Linked DNA regions of Lonchura striata. The protein of the gene in region 1 binds, or shares a complex with, the protein of each later gene. Links are inferred from orthologs where the notes say so. Each region holds a gene or a part of one and is shown on either strand. Other genes may lie near its edges.

Evidence for each region.
Region 2: the proteins of AAK1 (region 1) and PDLIM5 are in contact, whole or in part, in a crystal structure (PDB 9F6S), measured with the Homo sapiens proteins. The link is inferred for Lonchura striata from reciprocal best matches to the Homo sapiens genes AAK1 and PDLIM5. Residues at the interface, in NP_055726.4 of Homo sapiens: Asp956, Leu958, Ile959, Asp960, Leu961; in NP_006448.5 of Homo sapiens: Ala12, Pro13, Trp14, Gly15, Phe16, Arg17, Leu18, Phe24, Gln67, Ile70, Lys71.

The regions. Positions count from the first base shown.
Region 1 is NC_134634.1:247,118-256,363, reverse strand, and holds the start of AAK1 (AP2-associated protein kinase 1), read left to right. Parts: upstream 1-5,003; 5' UTR 5,004-5,018; coding exon 5,019-5,181; intron 5,182-9,246.
Region 2 is NC_134606.1:51,584,276-51,593,499, forward strand, and holds the start of PDLIM5 (PDZ and LIM domain protein 5), read right to left. Parts: upstream 3,986-9,224; 5' UTR 3,859-3,985; intron 1,974-3,858; exon of another isoform or gene 1,744-1,973; intron 1,058-1,743; 5' UTR 1,018-1,057; coding exon 922-1,017; intron 1-921. UniProt on the Homo sapiens protein: May play an important role in the heart development by scaffolding PKC to the Z-disk region. May play a role in the regulation of cardiomyocyte expansion. Isoforms lacking the LIM domains may negatively modulate the scaffolding activity of isoform 1.

The DNA.
Region 1 (9,246 bases):
TAAATTTGCATCTCAGAGAGCAAAGGAGCATTTGCTAGGAGGTTTTCAGTGTGTCCTTTCATTAGCAGGTACCTACCTGCCTTTAGCTCTAAAGGAACAGCCTCACCACGTTCGCTGAGCTCCAAATTCTGGCACTAATGAAGTAATTCACCCAGAGAGGGTCAGATTTTGGGCCTTTGGGGATTAAGCTGGTGTTTTTAGGAGGTTCACAAGGGAAGAGCTCATTTTCATACCTGAGCACTGGCAGTCTGCTAGCAGCAGCCCCTGAAAATGGGGTTATTTAAGGGTTGCACAAGTGCTGTGGGAGTGTGTTGGATGCTGTAGCTCAGTCAGTGTTGTCTCCATAGCAGCAGTACCCGAAGGTAGGGTGGAGGCTGAAAACCAGCCCTTGCTTTTCCAAAGCACTGAGCTCTGCGTGCTTGGGAGAGGGTGAAGAATTCTCTCATTGCATGTATCAATATCACAGTAGTCCCAAAGTGAGCTGCAGTTGCTGGGGCTCGCTGCAGACATCCAGGGGCACTTCTGACCCTTAGAGCAAGGGTGTGTCCTTACCTGCTGTTCAGCACTGTGGAAGGTGAAACCGCCACAAGTCTGAGGTGTTTTGGGAAGAGGTGTTTTGGGGAAGAGCTTAGGAAGAGGCAGCCTGGAGCTGTTGATCTATGATTGGAGTAGAGCCCTTTTAACACAAAGAGAGGAAGGAAGATGAAACACTCCCAGACCTAGGTGAGCAGTGCTTATTTGAGTGGGAAAACCGAACTGTTCCAACTCACATAAGAAACTGGAGTGTTCTTAATTCTTCATAGCCATTAGAAACACTGCTTGTGCACTCAGCATTATCAGGGGAATGCGCAGCACTCTCCCTTTTAGCAATCCAGGCATTTAGAACCCTGAGCACAGCATACCAGCACTGCTATGCAACTCAAAGGCTCTCTGGGTAGATTATATAAACACAAATGTCACACAAGGCCAAGAAGGAACTGAGAAGCAGAACTGATTAGAGAAAATTCCTGTAACCTAAGATGCCTTTAAAGCAAGAGACCACTTGGACACACACGGGAGCCCACCTGCCTGAGACAATGAGCTGTAAGGGGAGACAGCGATGAGCACTGCGGGGATGAGACAGCCGGGAGTCAAATTCCCCTTCCAAGAGTGCTTCAATCACCGGGTACCCAGGGTGGGGATGCTCGTGTTCTGCAGGTGGGCACACAGGAGGGGATCCCAGCTGCTCTCACAGCTCCTCACGCTGACAGCTCTAGCAGCATCTCGGCTGATAGAGCTGCGGGGGGCTCTCCACACTGCTGTCCCCCAGCATATGCTGTGCTGACACTGCCTCAGAGATACCCACCCACTCTGCCTTTCTCCCACAGAGAAACTGAAGGCTGCACTTGGCCACGGGCCCAGTCTGCTGTTTTCTTTTATTCACTAAAGCTATAAACAGCAGGGAATGAAAACAGTCCGGGGCCATCGGTGGTCTGATGGCTTCGCTGGCTGCCTGTGACCGTGAATCCATCCAAAGGGGAACAGGAGTCAGCAAAAACCTCCAGAGAGGGAGGGGGCTTAAGGAATGCTTACTTTCATTAGTTCTGAAGAGGAAATGAGTAGCTTTCACTTTTTTCTTCTTAATTAGTATCTGCCTCCATCTAGTTTAATCTTACTTAGTTGCTCTGTAATTTGGCCATAACCCAGCTCTAGGGGATGGAAACAGAGCTATGACTGCCCAGCTCAGGATGACTTTTCCTGACCCTGCTCTGAAACAGAAGTGAGCAAAGGGTGTGGGCAGACCCAGGTGAGGCAGCTTGGGGCAGGAGGAGCCCCAACAGGATCCTGACACTGGAAACACAGCTGATAAATCCCTTCTCCGGGAGAACCTAGCCTGCAAACTTCCCTTAGGGTGACAGCAGCTGCTTGAAGGGACAGAGAGGAGCTGTGGTGCAGTCATGCTCCCTGAGAAACACAGCTCTTTCCCACCCAGTGCTCCATCCCTGGCTGTGCACAGGGTCAATCCAGGCCGCTGCATCCCACATGCGAGAGCCTGCAGAGCTCAATCAGCTCCTTTATTTCTGGGTGTGCCACTTCTGTGGATGGAAGATTGGCTTCCAGCCACAGGAAGCAAGAGCCATTGCTGGAGCCAGTGAGGATTCCTGCAGGGACAAACAGGAGCACCAAGGAGGTGGAAGTTTTTAAGCATGTGAAATACAGATCTGACTTCTGGAGTATTTTTGTTCCTCTGCACAACTCTGGACCCAGTAAAGCCCAGCTGCATGACACTGTGCTTGAGAACTGATGTTTTCTTGGAGGTGATGAAGATCAGTGATGATTTTTCTCATTATGCTAATAGTGTTTGGGGGCCACTACTGTGGGCTTGGAAAGAAATCCTGGAACTCCAGAAAATCACAGGCAGGGAGATGGATAGAACAGCGGATCTTTTATTTGCTGGTGAGAAGCTTAACAGAGTTTTTTGCAGTAAATGTATAATTAAAGAGACAGAATTGTGGAATGCATTGCATTGGGAGGGACCTTAAAGCTCATCTTGTTCCAGGCTCCATGAGCAGGGACACCTTCCACTGTCCCAGGGTGCTCCAAGCCCTGTCCAGCCTGGCCTGGGACACTTGCAGGGATCCAGGGGCAGCCACAGCTTCTCTGGGCACCCTGGGCCAGGGCCTCATCCCCCTCACAGGGCACAATTCCTTTCTTGTATCTAATCTGAATATCTCTCCCTTACTTTGAAACAGTTACCCCTATCACTGTGTAAAAAAGGCTCTCCCAACATCCTCATCAAGATAAACACTGCCGTGTGATTAAGACTACATTATTATGCGGTGAAGTCAGGAAAATGTGACCACGGCTGTTTCCCCTGGCCAGTTTAGTGGCAGCAAGCACAGGAAGCTGTGCCAGCGCTGCTCTCCGTCGTTGCTGCTCCCGGAGCTCTCCAGAAGGGGCCAGTGTGCCCTCGCCTTTCGGGGCCGCAGGAAACCTGCCCAGGCCTGTGTTTTTATTTAGAAAATGCTGAGCTGGCTGGAAAGTTGATGAAGAGGGATGCAGCTGTATTAATGTGCTTCTTCCTGGGGATTTGAATGCATTTTCTGAGCGGTGCAGGAGAACCAGGGATCAGGGAGACAATGTGCAGGGAAGCAGCTCTGCTGACCACACTCGGATATTTTAAACCTTGTGTCATGGGATTTCAGCAGCTTAAAATTTGTTTTTTAGGACTGAGTGCATTAGTCAGAGGCTCCTGCCTGCAGCAGGACAAGGCTGGGAGCACTTTGGAGTCACTCTGACACGGGAGGAGCGCCAGGCCCTATCTGTGCTGTGGCCACAGATCAGCTTTTCCACTTGGAGCTTTCAGGCTCAGCTCCCTCTGATCCCCGTGAAGGTCACAGGGATTGCAGCAGTGCGGTGAGCCTTGTGTCTCCTGGAATAAAGAACATCCTCAGCGTCTGCAGCCTGCTGCTGCCCAGAGCGGTCATGGGTGGGGTTTGTGTGCCCGTGGGCTGACAGCCGTGCGTGGGGCTGACACTGCCTGCACTGCACTGCAGGTACGGTTAAAAAAAGCTCGGCAGTGCATCTGCAGCTCTCTGCATGCTTTTATCTTCTTTAGCTGGAAATGAGTAATTTCCCTGTGCTCTACAGAGATGCCCAATTTCCTTGGAAATTGTTCAGTTCTGCAGAGTCCCCAGAAATCCCCAGTGATGGGACCCACATTTTGCACTGGGTGTTTTACCAGTCTTGAGAGATGCCTGGGGATTTTCACAAGTCAGAGAAATTAAAAAAAAATTAAAAATAATGGATCGAAGCACCTGAGACTTTACTCGGTTCATATTTATTCCGAAGGGCACGTGAACCTTCTGTACTGAGCACGTCATCGTGCAAAGCCCTAATGTGGGCCGTGGCTCCTCACGGACAGGATTTCTGCACTCATCCCTCGCGGCGAGGAGGACGCAGAGCCCCCGGGCCCCGTCCGCTGTTCCTGTGGGGGCCTCCGGTACCGACCGGTCTGAGGGGCGACCGCGGCCCGGCCGCTCCGCCACAGCCCCTCACGGCCCCGGCCGGTCTGAGGGGCGACCCCGGCCCGGCCGCTCCGCCACAGCCCCTCACAGCCCCGGCCGGTCTGAGGAACGACCCCAGCCCGGCCGCTCCGCCACAGCCCCTCACGGCCCCGGCCGGTCTGAGGAACGACCCCGGCCCGGCCGCTCCGCCACAGCCCCTCACGGCCCCGGCCGGTCTGAGGAGCGACCGCGGCCCGGCCGCTCCGCCACAGCCCCTCACGGCCCCGCCGCGCGGCATGCCGGGACTTGTAGTCCCCGCCGCCCCCAGGGCCCCCCCTCCGCCTGGCACGGCGAACTACCGCCCCCAGCATGCCGCGCGCGGCGCCGCCAGCCCGCCGGGCCCCCGCTCCCCCGCCCGCCGCACCGTGGGGCGGGGGGCGCTCCGAGGCCCGCGGGACGGGACGCTGTGGACGCGATATCCCGGGACAGGGAGGAACGCAACGGGACGGGACGGGACGGCCCGGGGCGGCGGGGCCGGGCCCCGCAGCTGGCGGAGGCGCGGGGGCGGTGCTCCCGGCGGCAGCCGGCACTTCCTGTGACGGCCCATTTCCTGGTCGGATGGGGCCGGCGGGGGGCGGCGGCGGCGGGGTCGGTCCCTGTCCGTGTCCCTGACGGGCTCGGTGGTCGCCGGTGACGCCGCCAGGCAGCGATGCGGGCCCCGGGCGCTGCCGGCAGCCGGCCCCCGCCGTGAGCCGGTGGGGCTGCGCAGGCCGGCCCCGCGGGGCGCATGGAGGCACCCGCCGCGCTCTGCGAGGTACCGGGCAGGGTCGCGCGGTCGGGGCTCGCGGAGCGGCCCGCGGCGGTGACTCGCCAGCCCGTTATCCCCGCTGCTTCCGCAGGTGTGAGTCCCCGCGGGACAGCGCGGCTCGGCCCCGCCGGGCCAGCGGCCCCGGGCCCCGCTCAGCGGCCGCGGCAGAGCCAGGAGGGGTCGGCACCGACACCGGCGTCGCGGCGGCCGCCGCCTCCTGAGACATGAAGAAGTTCTTCGACTCGCGCCGGGAGCAGGGCGGCTCCGGGCCCGGCTCGGGCACCAGCGGCGGCGGCGGCGGCAGCAGCGGCCCGGGCAGCGGCTACATCGGCCGGGTCTTCAGCATCGGCCGGCACCAGGTCACGGTGGACGAGGTGCTGGCGGAAGGTAAGGTCCCGGTGCCGTTCTGAGCGCTGCTTTTGCCTCCCCGAGCTGAAAGGGAGGCCTCGAGCTGTCCCGGGCACCCAGCCTCCTCCCTGACCCCCGGATTCCTGAGTATTTCACCGTCCTTGGCAGAATTGCAGTCCAGTGGTGTCTGTAAGCTGACGTGTCTGATCTTCCCATCTGTAAGTCCAGTGTGGGTTTCCTGGATTTGGTTTTTTTTTTGTTTTTGTTTTTGTTTTTTTTTTTTTAATGCTTCAGAAATTGGAGGAATGTTGTTAGAAGTTGTTTCTCACTTCTTCTAAACTGGGAGTTAAAAAAAACAAAATAAACAAACACCCAAACCAAAATTGTCAAATATTTTGGTGCAGAACAAGGTGCTGTAAATAAAAAAAGTGGTGTCCTTCACTCTTAAACTTTCTTCAGCTGTTACCTCCTTTCCTATCTCAAGCTGAGAGGATTAAAACACTGGAGTAAATTCCTTGTAGCTATGTTATGTACATAGGCTGGCTGTGACCTGGGATGAGGGATTTCTCTGTGTGTGGGATGTCTGCAAGGGGAAGTGGTGATCCCAATTGCCTTTTTTTTTTTTTTTTTTTTTTTTTATAATTTTATTTATTTATTTTGTTTTCCCCAAATAAAACAGACACCTAAAAATGAATCCTAGGGGTTATGGAACTCATGATGTGTGCAGGCCTTGCAGTGCAGCAAGCTGCTGGTGGCATTTGTTTAATTGTAACCAGCCCTGCTGCTTGAACTATCATTTTACATTTCATTTGTTGGGGCTGTAAGGAACCTCCTGCATGGCTCTGCCTGGTAACCTTAGCCTCGACCTTCAGAGAGATGTTGGCCTCTTCAGACCTGCTCCTGGTGCCTCCTGCACAGCATCCTGGGCAGATTTAGTCCAAACAGTGTTTTGTTTTGATGGCGAAGGAGAGGAGAGCTGCTGGGAGAGAGCTGAGTGGGAGGACCTGTGTTGGCTTTTACAGAAAGAGCCCTAAAATGGAAAAGGGACTCTGTGTACGCTGCCTGTGTTCAGATTTGTAAGAATTCACCGCGGTGTACAAGAAAATAGGTCTGTGGCTGTTTTTTTAGACTTGGTTTCTGATGTGTTCTGCTGAGAGGAGAACCAAAACCAGGCTTTTACCTAGCAGCTATAGTGATTTTTTTTCCTTTGAAATTTGCAATACAGGTTTGCCTGGACTGATACTTGCGAGGCCCTTTTGGCCCTGGAAGCTTAGGATCTACATGAGCTAAACTTGAGAAGCTGTCAGTCTCTTTTTAATGCAGGATGGCCTCATCCTGGTAACATGGGAAGGCAGAGGCTTTTTTTGCTGATGAGTAATGTGCTGGCAGGTTCTGCCCCGGGAAGCGAAGCCGTGTGTCACCGGGCTCTCCTGCTGCAGCAGAGGTGGAGGTGGGAGCACGAATTGCCTGAGAGAAGAGCCTCCCTTCTCTGCCTCCCTGTCCTGGGGGGAGCTGCTGCTTGTGGGGGCTTTTCCCTGCATCTCCTGCTTCCTGGGCTGGCTGTGGGATGGAGCACGGCCTGCAGCTCTGGGCTGCTCACAGCAGGCTAGCACACCTGTGAAGCAGGGGCTGTGTTTGTTCTGTGAGGCAGAGGGAGTTCTGGTGAAAGGTGCTGCCCAGGTATCTCCCTCCCAGCGAGACTTTGCTGTGGGCGGTGTGAAATCCTTCTGTGTGCAGAGGGGACACGAGCAAGGCGGTGTGTCGGTTTGCAGCTCGTCACCTTTTGTTGGGAACAGTGACAATGCCATTTCCTCTGTAGGAAAGTTGGGCCAGCTGGGGAGCAGCGTGGGTCAGGAGTGCTGCAGCTCTGCATGCCTGAGTGTGGCTGAGTGTGCTGGTAAACAGCCTTTTCTAAACCCTGACTCAGCTGGAGACCTGGGGAGCTCGTGGGCAGCCCGGTCCCCACGCTCCTGACGTCTGAAACCTCGGCTGGAAAACCTCTCTGTATCTGCAGTGGTTCCAGCAGTGCTGAAGAGGCAACTCCTGGCTATTTCTGCTAAAAGGAAAAGTCCCCTGGGAAGCACTTTGTAGGAGGAGTATCCTGTCTGGGAAGGAAGGACCTGTCATCCCCGTTGCTTTAGGAGGGAGGGGGGAGGCCTGTGTTTAGGTGCAGCCTGTGAAACATGAAAAAAAAAAAGAGATGTAAAAGTGGCTTAAAGAGAGAACTGATGCAGTGATGAATGGTGCGGAGGAGACTTGAGTTGAACCAGAAGTTTTGGAATTGAAACATTGTGATTTGCTCTCAGAGCTGTGCCTGGTCACCCTGAATTCTGCTGAGCAACCCTGCTGGTGAGGAGTGTGCCCTGGCTGCAGCACTGCCTGTGCCAAGTGGCAAATGGCTCCAAATACCTCTGGGCTCTTGTGTGGATCTCCCAAATTACCTGTTCTGGTTAGGAGCACCCCTCACCCCTAAAAATAGTTCTGTCTGGATGCTTGCCTGCCTTGGCAGGGAGGAACATCCTTTCCTTTTTAGAAGGAAGTAGATGGGAATAATGTAGAAGGAATTTGAGGGGTTGGTTGTGGCGTCAGGATACGGTGAATCAGTGGGTTTTTTACAGTGTGTTGCAATAGGTTGTACCTAGTTGGGTCTTTGTAACTCTCCTGCTCTAATCTATATAATAGCACAAATAAGCTCTTGAAAAATTCCCCTCAGAGTTTGCAGAAGGATTATCTGTGGTGGGAGGGCAGTGCTGTTGGTCCTGGGGGTCTGCAGGGTCAGATTTGAAGTCACACAGTGCCCCAGTATGGGTTTAGGGGCATTGTGGCTGGTTTTGGGGTGAGTGGTGTTTCACAGAGCTGAATGCAATCCCCAGGAGCTCTTGCAGTGTGGGGCTGAGTCAGGCTGCTGTCTTGCTGTTTTCTTTCTGAAAATAAACCAAAACTGCGTTGTACCAAATCAGATCCTGCTCTTTGTTTCTGCCTGTGTGTAGGGGGAAGACCCTACACAAACAAAATAAACACAAACCCTACACAAACAACAAAACCTCACCCCAGAGCCCCATGCTGGAGCTCTTGGGAGTTTGGTGTCCCTCTGATAGAGAACAAAACAGCAGAAACATTGAGAAGGATGTTGCCATAAATGAGGGATTTGCTAAGGAGTTTGGGAGAGGTGTGTGGCAAAGTACCACAAGGCACGGGTACTCCTCCGAGCTAAAACAGGTTGGAGATTGCCCCAGTGTCCCATTTCTGAGGGCCGCTGTGCTTTGTGTGACTCTGTACTCCCAGTGTTGTCAGAGAGTGCTGAGCTGACCCGAGGTGTGTAAACATTGATGGGGCACGTGCTTGAACAGGGTTTTGTCTTGCTCTGCTTCTAGCAGAAAGTACAGGCTGTGTTCCTGCAGGTCTGTGAAAAGCTACTTTTAAAATGAGTTGTACTTTTTTGAAAGTCTTTTCCCCTTCAAGTGTGTAAGTAAGGGATTCAGGTTTAATGATTGTTGGCTGTCTCACTTAAGTTTTTCTGGTATGTGCCTGTGTGCTGTAGCTAGTGTTGATTTGAAAGCATTTAATGGTTGGTATTACAAACCAGTGCAAAGTCACAAAATCATCTTACATTTGCCAGCTGTATTTTTCCTCTGTTTTGAAAAGAGGGACACTGTGGGCTTCATCCTGAATTTCCTTAGCAGACCTGCAGGCCAGTGCATGTGGGGAGCAGCTGGGGGAGGCTGTGAATGCCCAGCCTGGTGGGGTGGGGTGCCCTGAGCTGCCCAGGGCTGTGGCTGGCCTGAGTGCAGAGGGTTTCTGCTGACCCCTGCCCTGCTCACCCTTGGCACCTCCCTTCCCTGCAGCACCAGAACCTGAAGTCACTGAAAACACACGTGAGCTTCTTCTGAAATAATTTCACTTTAAAGCAAACCCCATCTGAGGCACATTTTGCAGATTTATGTGATCCTCAACTCAATTCCAGTGTGGCTGGGTTCAATACACTGCTTTGAAGTGTATTTTGCGAGTTACTGCTTTCTAGTTTCAGCCAAGGGCCAGCTGCTAATCAGCTGACCAGTGACATTTGGATTAGGAATTAAACTGTTTCTCCTCTTGGAGTGGAAC
Region 2 (9,224 bases), on another chromosome or scaffold:
AAGGGAGAGGAGAGCTGTTGACAGAGGAGGGGCCATTTGTATATAAATTATTCCACCTGGCTAATCAGATTTAAAGGTGTCAGGGTACAGAGCCATCAAAAGCCAGTCCCTTCACCAGTGATCCTAGAAATGCAATACTGAGAAGTTTGTCCCTATATTTTATGTGCAAAGTACTTCAGGCATCTGCAAAAGGCTTTGAAACTTAGCCCACAGTGAAAGACAAGCCTTCCTGAAAACACAGTTTTAAAGTAGGAAACTAGTTAGACAGTGCTGGGTACAAAGATCGTATTTGTTTTGACTTATTTCCTCAAATCCTTTGAATACCAGTTCAGAGCACATACTCTATAAAACACTCATGAGAAACTGGCACGTTCACTGAGGCACATATTGATGAACTGCTATTTACAACTACTGTCATTTAAGTACCTTTTTATTACAAATGGTAGGATTTGTAATAGCAGACACCACAAGATCCTCAGGCAGCTAAAAGCTGCTGAATAAACAAGTGCAACACGAGTGATTTTTCCCCACTGCTTCCCATTTGAAACGCACAGGCTCAGCCCAGCAAAGTAAATTGCTTGTTTCCTGTCAGCCTTCAACCTCTACATCTCTATTTTCTGGGTGGGAACAGGGAAGGGAATTCGAGGGCAATTTTTTTTGTTATTTGAATAAACAAATGCAGATAAAACAACCATTTCAAATGAACAAGTCCTTCCTAAGCTAATTTTCTTGGAGCCTTTATACAATACAGATTTATTTTCCCCTTTCTATCCCTCCCTCCCCGACCCCTACCATGGGGTCCTCCATGCCACAGGGCAAGTGGAGCCCCAGCGTCTATAATTAATGGCTTTGTCTGAAGGTTGTGGGTTGGCCACAGCATAACAGATACCCACATGCAGGAAAAAAAGCAAATACACTTACCCGAGAGATAGACAGAGGCACATTGAAATCCTTGCCCCCTTGAAGCCTGAAACCCCAGGGAGCCGGCCCGACCAAAGACACGCTGTAGTTGCTCATGATGTTTAGTATTCAAGGACCAAATCCAAAGAACTGATGCCTGCAGAAGAGGATTAGAGTTTTAATTTAAAGGTGATAAAAACAAAAGGCACTGTCCGCAATTTTGGAAACATTCTTTCTTTGGCTATATTCCCCTCCCCCCAAAACAGCCAAAAACCCCACACCAGGTCTGTCATGACTTGTGCTTTTATTCCCTATATGTTGTTTCCCTCCATAGCTTAGGAAGAAACAGAATCTGGAGAACTGCTGCCGCCAAAATATTTGACAACTGCTTTTTACTAGCAAAACACCATGTGGGGCAGCGGTGGTAAAACCATCCAGCATGAAAGACCAGCTTAAAATAAGTCAATATTGAGACAAGCATGAATTGATAGCATCCCTTAAACTGAAGTATGGAAGACATTAGCACTACTAGCACATTCATTTCTAACAAAATTAGTATCATATGCTGCCCTGTCATCAGCTCAAAGCTTATTTCTAAATACAACAACGCCAAAAGCATCACAACTTTGCAGTTAATCAGACGAAAATAAAATCCCTGTGACGTTTTTTATTTTTACAGCATAGCTTCGTAGTGGCAGAACAATATCACAGATGAGTCCGATATTAAAACCAACCCTAAAAATGAAAGCTGTGAACTAAAGCAAAACATCCACAGTTATAATTCAATGCTGAGGAAGCAAAACCCACGCATCTCCCTCTCCAAAAATGTATCCGACAAATTACCTTTAAAAGGCAACAGAGATATTTAAGCGCTGCTCAGCGTCAAAGATAAGGGCTTCAGTTCCACCTTAGATAAGTAATGTTACAATGACATCTTAGGTAGTGGATGCCGTCTATTTTTGTGTAGTTGAAGCCCGGCAGGAGCACACCAGGGCAGGCTGGTGTAAGACTACACCGGGGCACAGCCAGATTCCATACTCATATAGGGACATTTAAGGTGGACCTTCAGGCAAGCAGCAGCAGGCGGCTGCAAACCCCACGGAACTCTGAAAAGCCCAGTTTTGGCTGTTCGCACGCTGCAGGGCGCCACGTTAGTTTCTCAGAGGCGGAGGATTTTTCCAAATGCAGCCCACCCCCGAGGAACATGAGGGAACATGAGAGCAGGGTTGTCGCACAACCCCCATCGATGCAAAGATGTCACCCCCCAAAAAAGTCATCCACAACGCACGTTTTTGGGTTCACCTCCCAAAGCAGCAGAGATCCACTGCTCACACTTTTTTCCTAAATCACACAGTGAGCTTTATTCACACCGACGGCCACTCAGGTAACCAGAGCAGGGCTACTGGCATCAGGCAGCACAAGATATAAATATGTATGTATTAGGAAGCAGAATTTGGAGCTTGTACCAGAGATGCCTGCGTAACTGGGCCATTCCCAACCCACCACTGCCTGCTAGCATCCAGCAAACGGGCAGCTCTGACCCCAGGCGCTGACTCAACCCACCCTTAAAAACCTCGACAAGCATCAATGAACAACAGGGGATGCACACAATATTGAGCTCTCCTGTCGCTAAAGAGGAAGAAAAGTCCCCGCCAAGCTTGAGCTAGGATTCTTAAGAGGCTTCCTCACCACTACAACGAGAACTAAGCTGTTAAATTGTCCTACGCACAGAGTTCTTTTAAAAAGAGGATCTGAATTGGTCACAGATTTCTTCCTGCATAAAAATACACATTCTGTTCACTCCCGCTAAAAGAAATCCACTGCAGTGACAGGTCACTCTAAAATATAAAACTGCAGAAAAGCAAGCCACATCTACTGACCAGCATACAGTGCAGTTGTTTCACACAGGTGAGCAGGCTTTACTTGGCAATTGAAAGCTAAAGCACCTGTGTAGATTTTTTTTTTATTTATTGAAGTTGAGCATCAACTAGTTACTGCTACAGACCCAGGAAAAATAATGGATTCTGTTAGGAATTGATACCATTCTTTTTCATTTGTAGCAACTGGAAATAGGAGGGAAGAAACTGCACTCTGAATTACCGTGCATCACACTCGGCATCACTCATCTTTCTCATCCCTTTAATTCTGGTATATCTGCATCTCTAGCCTGACAGATACACCAGGAAGTAACGGCAAACAAAGAAGACTCGCTCCAAATTTTATTTAACAAATGTCATAATATGGCAAGGCAATAGCTAAAGCAAAACACCGCGAACCATGAAATTCACGTGCGGAGCAAACAAACAAACGTTGTGCAAACAAACCAGCTAAGGGTGAAAATGTGCAACTTTCCTTTAGACGATCAAACGCTTAGTGGACCTGAGTCTGGAAGGGGGAATTTCAAATTCCCGGCCGGAACGGCGGCCCGCACCGCCGCCGCCAGGGCGCTGAGCCGTCGGCCCGCAGCGCCCAGAGGAGCCCTCCCGCCCCCGTACGCCCCGCACCCCGCTCTGCCCACCTCCCCGGGGCGAGGAGCCCCACGGCCAGCGCAGCCTGGGGACCACAACTCCCCGCAGGAGCGCTCGGTCTCGGCTCCAGCCGCTCCAGGGGCGCCCGGCGTGCAGCCCCGCGGGTGCCACAAAGCCCGGGGAGCGGGACGCACCGGAGCCTGTGTCCAAGCAGCCCTACGGGCACGGCTGGGGGCGAGGAGCCCCGCAGGTGTCCCGCAGCCCGGGCGGGAGCTGCCTGCCCTCCTGCCCCGGGCCGCGCCCCCGCCGCACCTCGGCACCCCGGCCGGGCGCTCGGCCACCGCGGCAAGTTGCGCGTCCTGCTTACAGAAGTTAAATGAAACGAAAACAAGCACCGCGGAGCTTTACAAACCGCGCCCAGCCTACTGACTCTTAGCCTGATTCCCCCCCTGGTTATTTTTCTGTTCGCTTTGGCCGCCGCGGCACTCACCCGGCGGCGCGGCTCAGCGCGGAGAGGCGAGGACAGCGCAGCGCGTCTGCGAGGCGGCGGCTCCAGCCCCCGCTCTTGTTTTCACTTCCGTCTCCCGCCGCTCCTCCCCTGGCCCGGCCCGGCCCAGCCCTGCCCGGCCGCGGCGGGACGGGGCTGCGGAGCGGGGCAGAGGCCGGGAAGGCCGCGCGGTGCGCAGGTTTGCTGTGCTGTTTGATTTGTTTTGGTTTGTTTTTAGCAGGGGAGCGCTCACGTTGGCCCCGCTTTGCTTTACGCACACGCAGCTGCGGGCGCACCTGAGAAGCGCGAGGGAAGCGGGAAGGGGCCGCTCCCCTGTGCCCGCCCTGAGGGAAGAGCTGCGGTGCCGGGCAGGGATGGGGGCAGGCTGCGGGGGCAGCCTGAAGCGGAGCAGGACAGCCTACGAAAAGAGGGAGTTTGGCTGATTTAATGTGGAGTAGCGTGAGAAATGACAGGGATGTACCCCCTCCCCCGAGGACATCAAAGTGCGGGAACGGCGGCGAGGCAGAAGAGCTGTTGAGGCTGACAGAAGGCTGGCACAAGAACAAACAGGTGTGGAGTAGCCATGCATAAGTTCAGCTCCGAAATTGGAAGGGATCCGCCAGAAATTAAGGTCTCTGGCACAGCCTCACTGGAGGAGTGCATCCATTAAACGAACCAGGTTCTAAGGTGATGCTTGATCAGATTGTTACAGGACTGATTCTTTAACACGAGGAGTATCCAGCTGGGAATCCATGGAGCGGGGCAGGCTGGCTGGGACAGCACTGCCAGCGCCAGCCAGCGCCAGCCACTGCCGCTGCCTTGGGAGAGGCAGGTATAGGGCAAAGATGAAACAGTGGCACTTGGGAGTCACATCCAGCTGCACCTCACAGCTTGGGGAGGCTTGAGGTTCCTGCCAAACTTCATGTGCGACAAGAAGTCATTACAAGTAAAAATGTCTGTGAAAGAAATGTGCATCTAGTTAACAGTATCATTGTCAGTACGATTCAAACGATTTCAGCACCCTCCTCAAACTGTGGAGAAAGAATGCAGAAGAAAGCTTTAAATTCTTATTACCATCCAACACAACACACAGTCCTCATAATAGACAGCCCTGCCTCACCCCTCTGGCCTAGGGCACTGTCCCTTAGTTTTATTGTTATTTGCACAGCCTTGAGTGTGATTTTGGCCCTACTCTGCCCATTGCTCCCACAGGCTACCCCAACCAGGAGCCCTCAGACTGGAGCTGATGCTGGGTTAGAAGACCTGTGCTCTAGGTGCTTGGGTGTGCATGAAACCAGGGCCTGTCTAATCCTCTGAGCCCTGGCTCAGCAAACCTTAACAAGGGTATTTTAACAGTGTCCCACTGAGCTGTGTGTCTTTAAGTAGGACAAACGCACCTCAAACAGCATCTCAAAAGAAAAGCATCTAAACCTCCCACTACTGCAGCCAAACCACTGTTTCAGAAATTTTCCTTCCTTAGTCTGCTCTTTTTCTATTAAGTCTCTCCAGTTGGGCAAAACTAAAAATCCCTGTTACGCAAATAGACTCTCACATGATTTTAATTCATGGAGGTAAAAATTACCCAACACAGGGATTTTTCATTGTGTCACAAGGGCTGTAGGTCACTCTCAAGCTGTTCTATTAATTAGAGTAGAAAAAGCTGCAGGACCCCACGTCCCGGTGTGACTCATGTGATACCTCCAGTGTCAGCATGTCCCTGTGCTGACTGCCTGGGTAGCAATCTGCTCTCAGCTCACCAGGGCACACAGCCTGTGTCCTGCTTGATTTTGCACTTTGCCATGTTAGTGAAAAACATCCTTTTCCACTTCAGTTCTCTCAAAGCCTTCAGCTTTTCCTGTTGGAGAAGTAGCTTGCATGTGCAGCACTTCAAGACACTATTACATTAATTCATCATGACCGAAGAAGAACGTGCAGAGAGACTTTTGCTGGTTGGTGTTGCAGCAGGTTTCAGCCCCGGCAAGCCTGCATGCAATCTGCTCCATTGCAGCAAGGTCAGTGCCACTCCCAGCTCAAAGCTGGCAGACTCATCTTTAAGTCCGTCATCACTTCGCTGTGGCGAAGATTCACTTCAGTTTGTAACAAATGAATCTGTTTTCCTTTGCCTCCAGACACAGGGCACAGAAATAGAGGCAACACATTAGCTCAAGATCATTCCATTCTTGGTCACTTTTCAAATATTGTCCTCTTTGAGAGAAAGCTTTTCATTAAGATGAATAACGAAATTAGAGATAGTAAATTGAGCAAGAAACCTTGGCAGCAGCTAGAACTGTGGCCTGCCTGTTCTTCCTACCACTACCAGATTTTAGACAGAGCTTGCATTTTCCCCTCAGAACAAGGAAGGAAAGCGTCTGGAAATTAATTAAATACAGTAGTCAGCTAGCCAGGCAGATACAGCCTATCTCAGAATTACTCAGGCACTTAAGTCTCGTTTAAATGCTAATGAAATGCCTTAGGTGCCATGTAATGGGCCCTACAAAACTGACAGAGAATATCACCTGCGGTGGTGAAGTACAAAAAGCTATTTGTAAATTAAAAAGTAGCCCATAAATTATGAACTGATTAACAATGCACAGTCGAATTGTTTTTAATTAAACACCACTTAATGTAATATTACCTTTCTCTGTGCTAAAGCATTGAACTACAAGCTGTGCTTTTACTGCACTGCTTTCACTTTTGCTTTTCTTCCAAAGGTAAAGCTAGTGTAAATATTTACATTCAGTTTATAACTCGTGTTCACCAACATAAAGTAATCCTCTCTCTAAAGAGGTAAATGTGAATATCCCCTACAGCATAACAGCTTATTTGCAGTTCCAAGACAGCTCTGTGGCCAAAAAATACAAGGAATTAGATAATTTCTATGTGTTTCTGAAAAGCAGGGGCTGCAGTCAGCTTTTGACAGGGCAAGCTCTTACATTTTGGTCACAGTGAAGCCCAAATTACCTAGAACTGGTATTGCGGAAGAACTTTTATTTTTCTGTTTGTTTGGTATTTTGTGGTTTTGTTGTTTGTTTTGTTCTGTTTTTCTTTTTCCTGTCCCTGTTTTGGAAAGATAGCCTGTGCTGAATTGCATCCTTCCTCGTGCATCCTGTCTACCGCAGTAAGTCCAGTCAGCCCAAAGACTTCTTTGCACGGGAGGAGCCATGTGGTTGAGCAGGGTCGCTGGCAGGAGGTTCAGAATCCAGCCAGATGGGCAGCTACACCCACCAATTCACCTTGGAACGGTTTTGTCAGCCAAAAAAAAAAAAAAAAAACAAACCGTCACGGTCAAGTTTTCTCTGACTTGTCACCTTTTTTTTCTCACCTCTTAGAGCCTGTTATCCCTCCAGGCGTGCTGACCATCTTCACCACTTGTCATCAGCCCGTTTTCTCACTGAACATGTTTTCTTGTGTTACTTCTGCTGTAGCTGTGTCCTCTCTGACAGCAGTTTGCTCGCCATCTCGTCGATCCAGACAGCTTTTAAACTCACGTTTTTCATCAGATTGAAAAGTTAACAGTGTTGGTCTTCCCACTCTAGCCTTTGAAGCTCTTAATGTTATAAATGGATTTATTTGTATTTTTTATACCCTGATTTATTTTTTATTTTAGCTAATCAAGCCTCCTTTAGTTTTTATTTATTGGTGCTTTTATTTGTAAAGAGAAATTAATATTTACTAATAAGATACTTCTTATTTACAGTCTCTCTAGAATTTTGGTAAATTGCATAAACAGGAAATGTATTTTATTACTGGACTCCTTTGTAGTGACTGAGCAGACTCATTGGAGCCTGATCAGTCCTAGTTCTAAGCTAGGAATATCTGTTTTGTTCCCTCCTCCTCAAGTAAAAGAAGGACCACCTGTGTGGATGTCACAGCCCATGCCACAGGTTAAACATTTCTACTTTGTGTGTCCAAACCAATGAAACAGCAACTAAACCTCTTCATTCCAGGAAACACAATTAACCTTTGCAGAAGCTTAAGGTTATCTTCTTATCACATTAAACACGGCCCATTTTAGGGACTGAAATCAATCAGAAGCTTCTCAGAACATCACAGCCTAAACAGTTTCATGCTTAGCCCTGCTGTGAGGCATTAGCCTCATTTTACAGATGGTCACCAGAGGCAATAAACATTTATACATACAAGGAATCAACTGTCAAAGAATTGAAACCAGTTCTTCCAAATTCTTTTTCAGCTACTAACAACTAACCACTGGATTACTCTACCACAGGCTGACCATGCCCCTTCTACTCTTCAAATGGAGCAATACATGGGAAGAAAAACCGAGAGGGGAAAAAAATCAAACTTCGTATTTACCATTTTTGACAGAGTTATGGGAGTAATGCCTTCAATTATCCCTGTTCTTACCTATTGAAGCAAGCTGCCTGCCCTGATTTCCTTTTCTTTCATGGCAAGGAATGGTTAATGCAGAAACCTGTGGCCTGGTGTGGTTTAATTACAGTCCCTCAGGTGTGCAGGAAGGGTTTGCTGAGTGATGTCTTTGAGCTATGTTTGAGATCCACCACAAATCCCAATTAAGTAGGGTTTGGCAGGTAAACAGCCAAACTTTCAGAGAGATCCTTGCAGGTATTTATATTAATTAATGCTATGGGAGAAGAGGTGCAAGATTGCCTTGGCGAGGGAGAGAGTGGCTGCCAGCTGCAGCACCAAGAGCCTGGCAGGTCAGGAGCAGCTGGGCACAGGGGTTTGGACAGGGGGCACAGCAGGGGAGCAGGCAGCTCCCCTGCTTTATTTCTACCAGCACCACTCACTCACTAAAGCACAGGCTTTTTATAGGGTCTGTTCTGCTGCTCAGCCTGGACACCCAGCAGACGTCATTTGGGGCTCCACCACCACAACCCCACATCATCCTGAAGTCAAAGCCCTTCAGCCAGCTCACACAACTGAACTGGTACAAAACTAAACATAATCCAAAGCAGGACATCCCACTGTATCAACAGGTCTAACAATACAATAGTGTTTGGAAATAAACGAAGGAGGGGAAAAATCAACCTATCTTTTCTGTTGTATTGACTTAGTTGCCCTGGATTTTATAACTGCTTAGTTAAAGCCATACAAAAACCTGTGCATACAGAGAAACCTCTCTAGGCCTTTTTAACCACCTCTAGAGTTGTTTGGGGTGTTTTCTCCCAGAGAAATACAAAACAGGCATGAGAGCAGTATGATCAGAGAACATGTTCAGGAGATCTTATTTTAACTGCTGCCCACATAAAATATTATATCAACTAATTGCTATTCCCACAGTAAATAAAATACTGGTAAACTTTACTGACAGTGGACAACAGCAGGAAAAAAACAGTCACCAGAGAAGCTTGTATTTATACATTTTAAGAATTTAAATCAAACTTGTA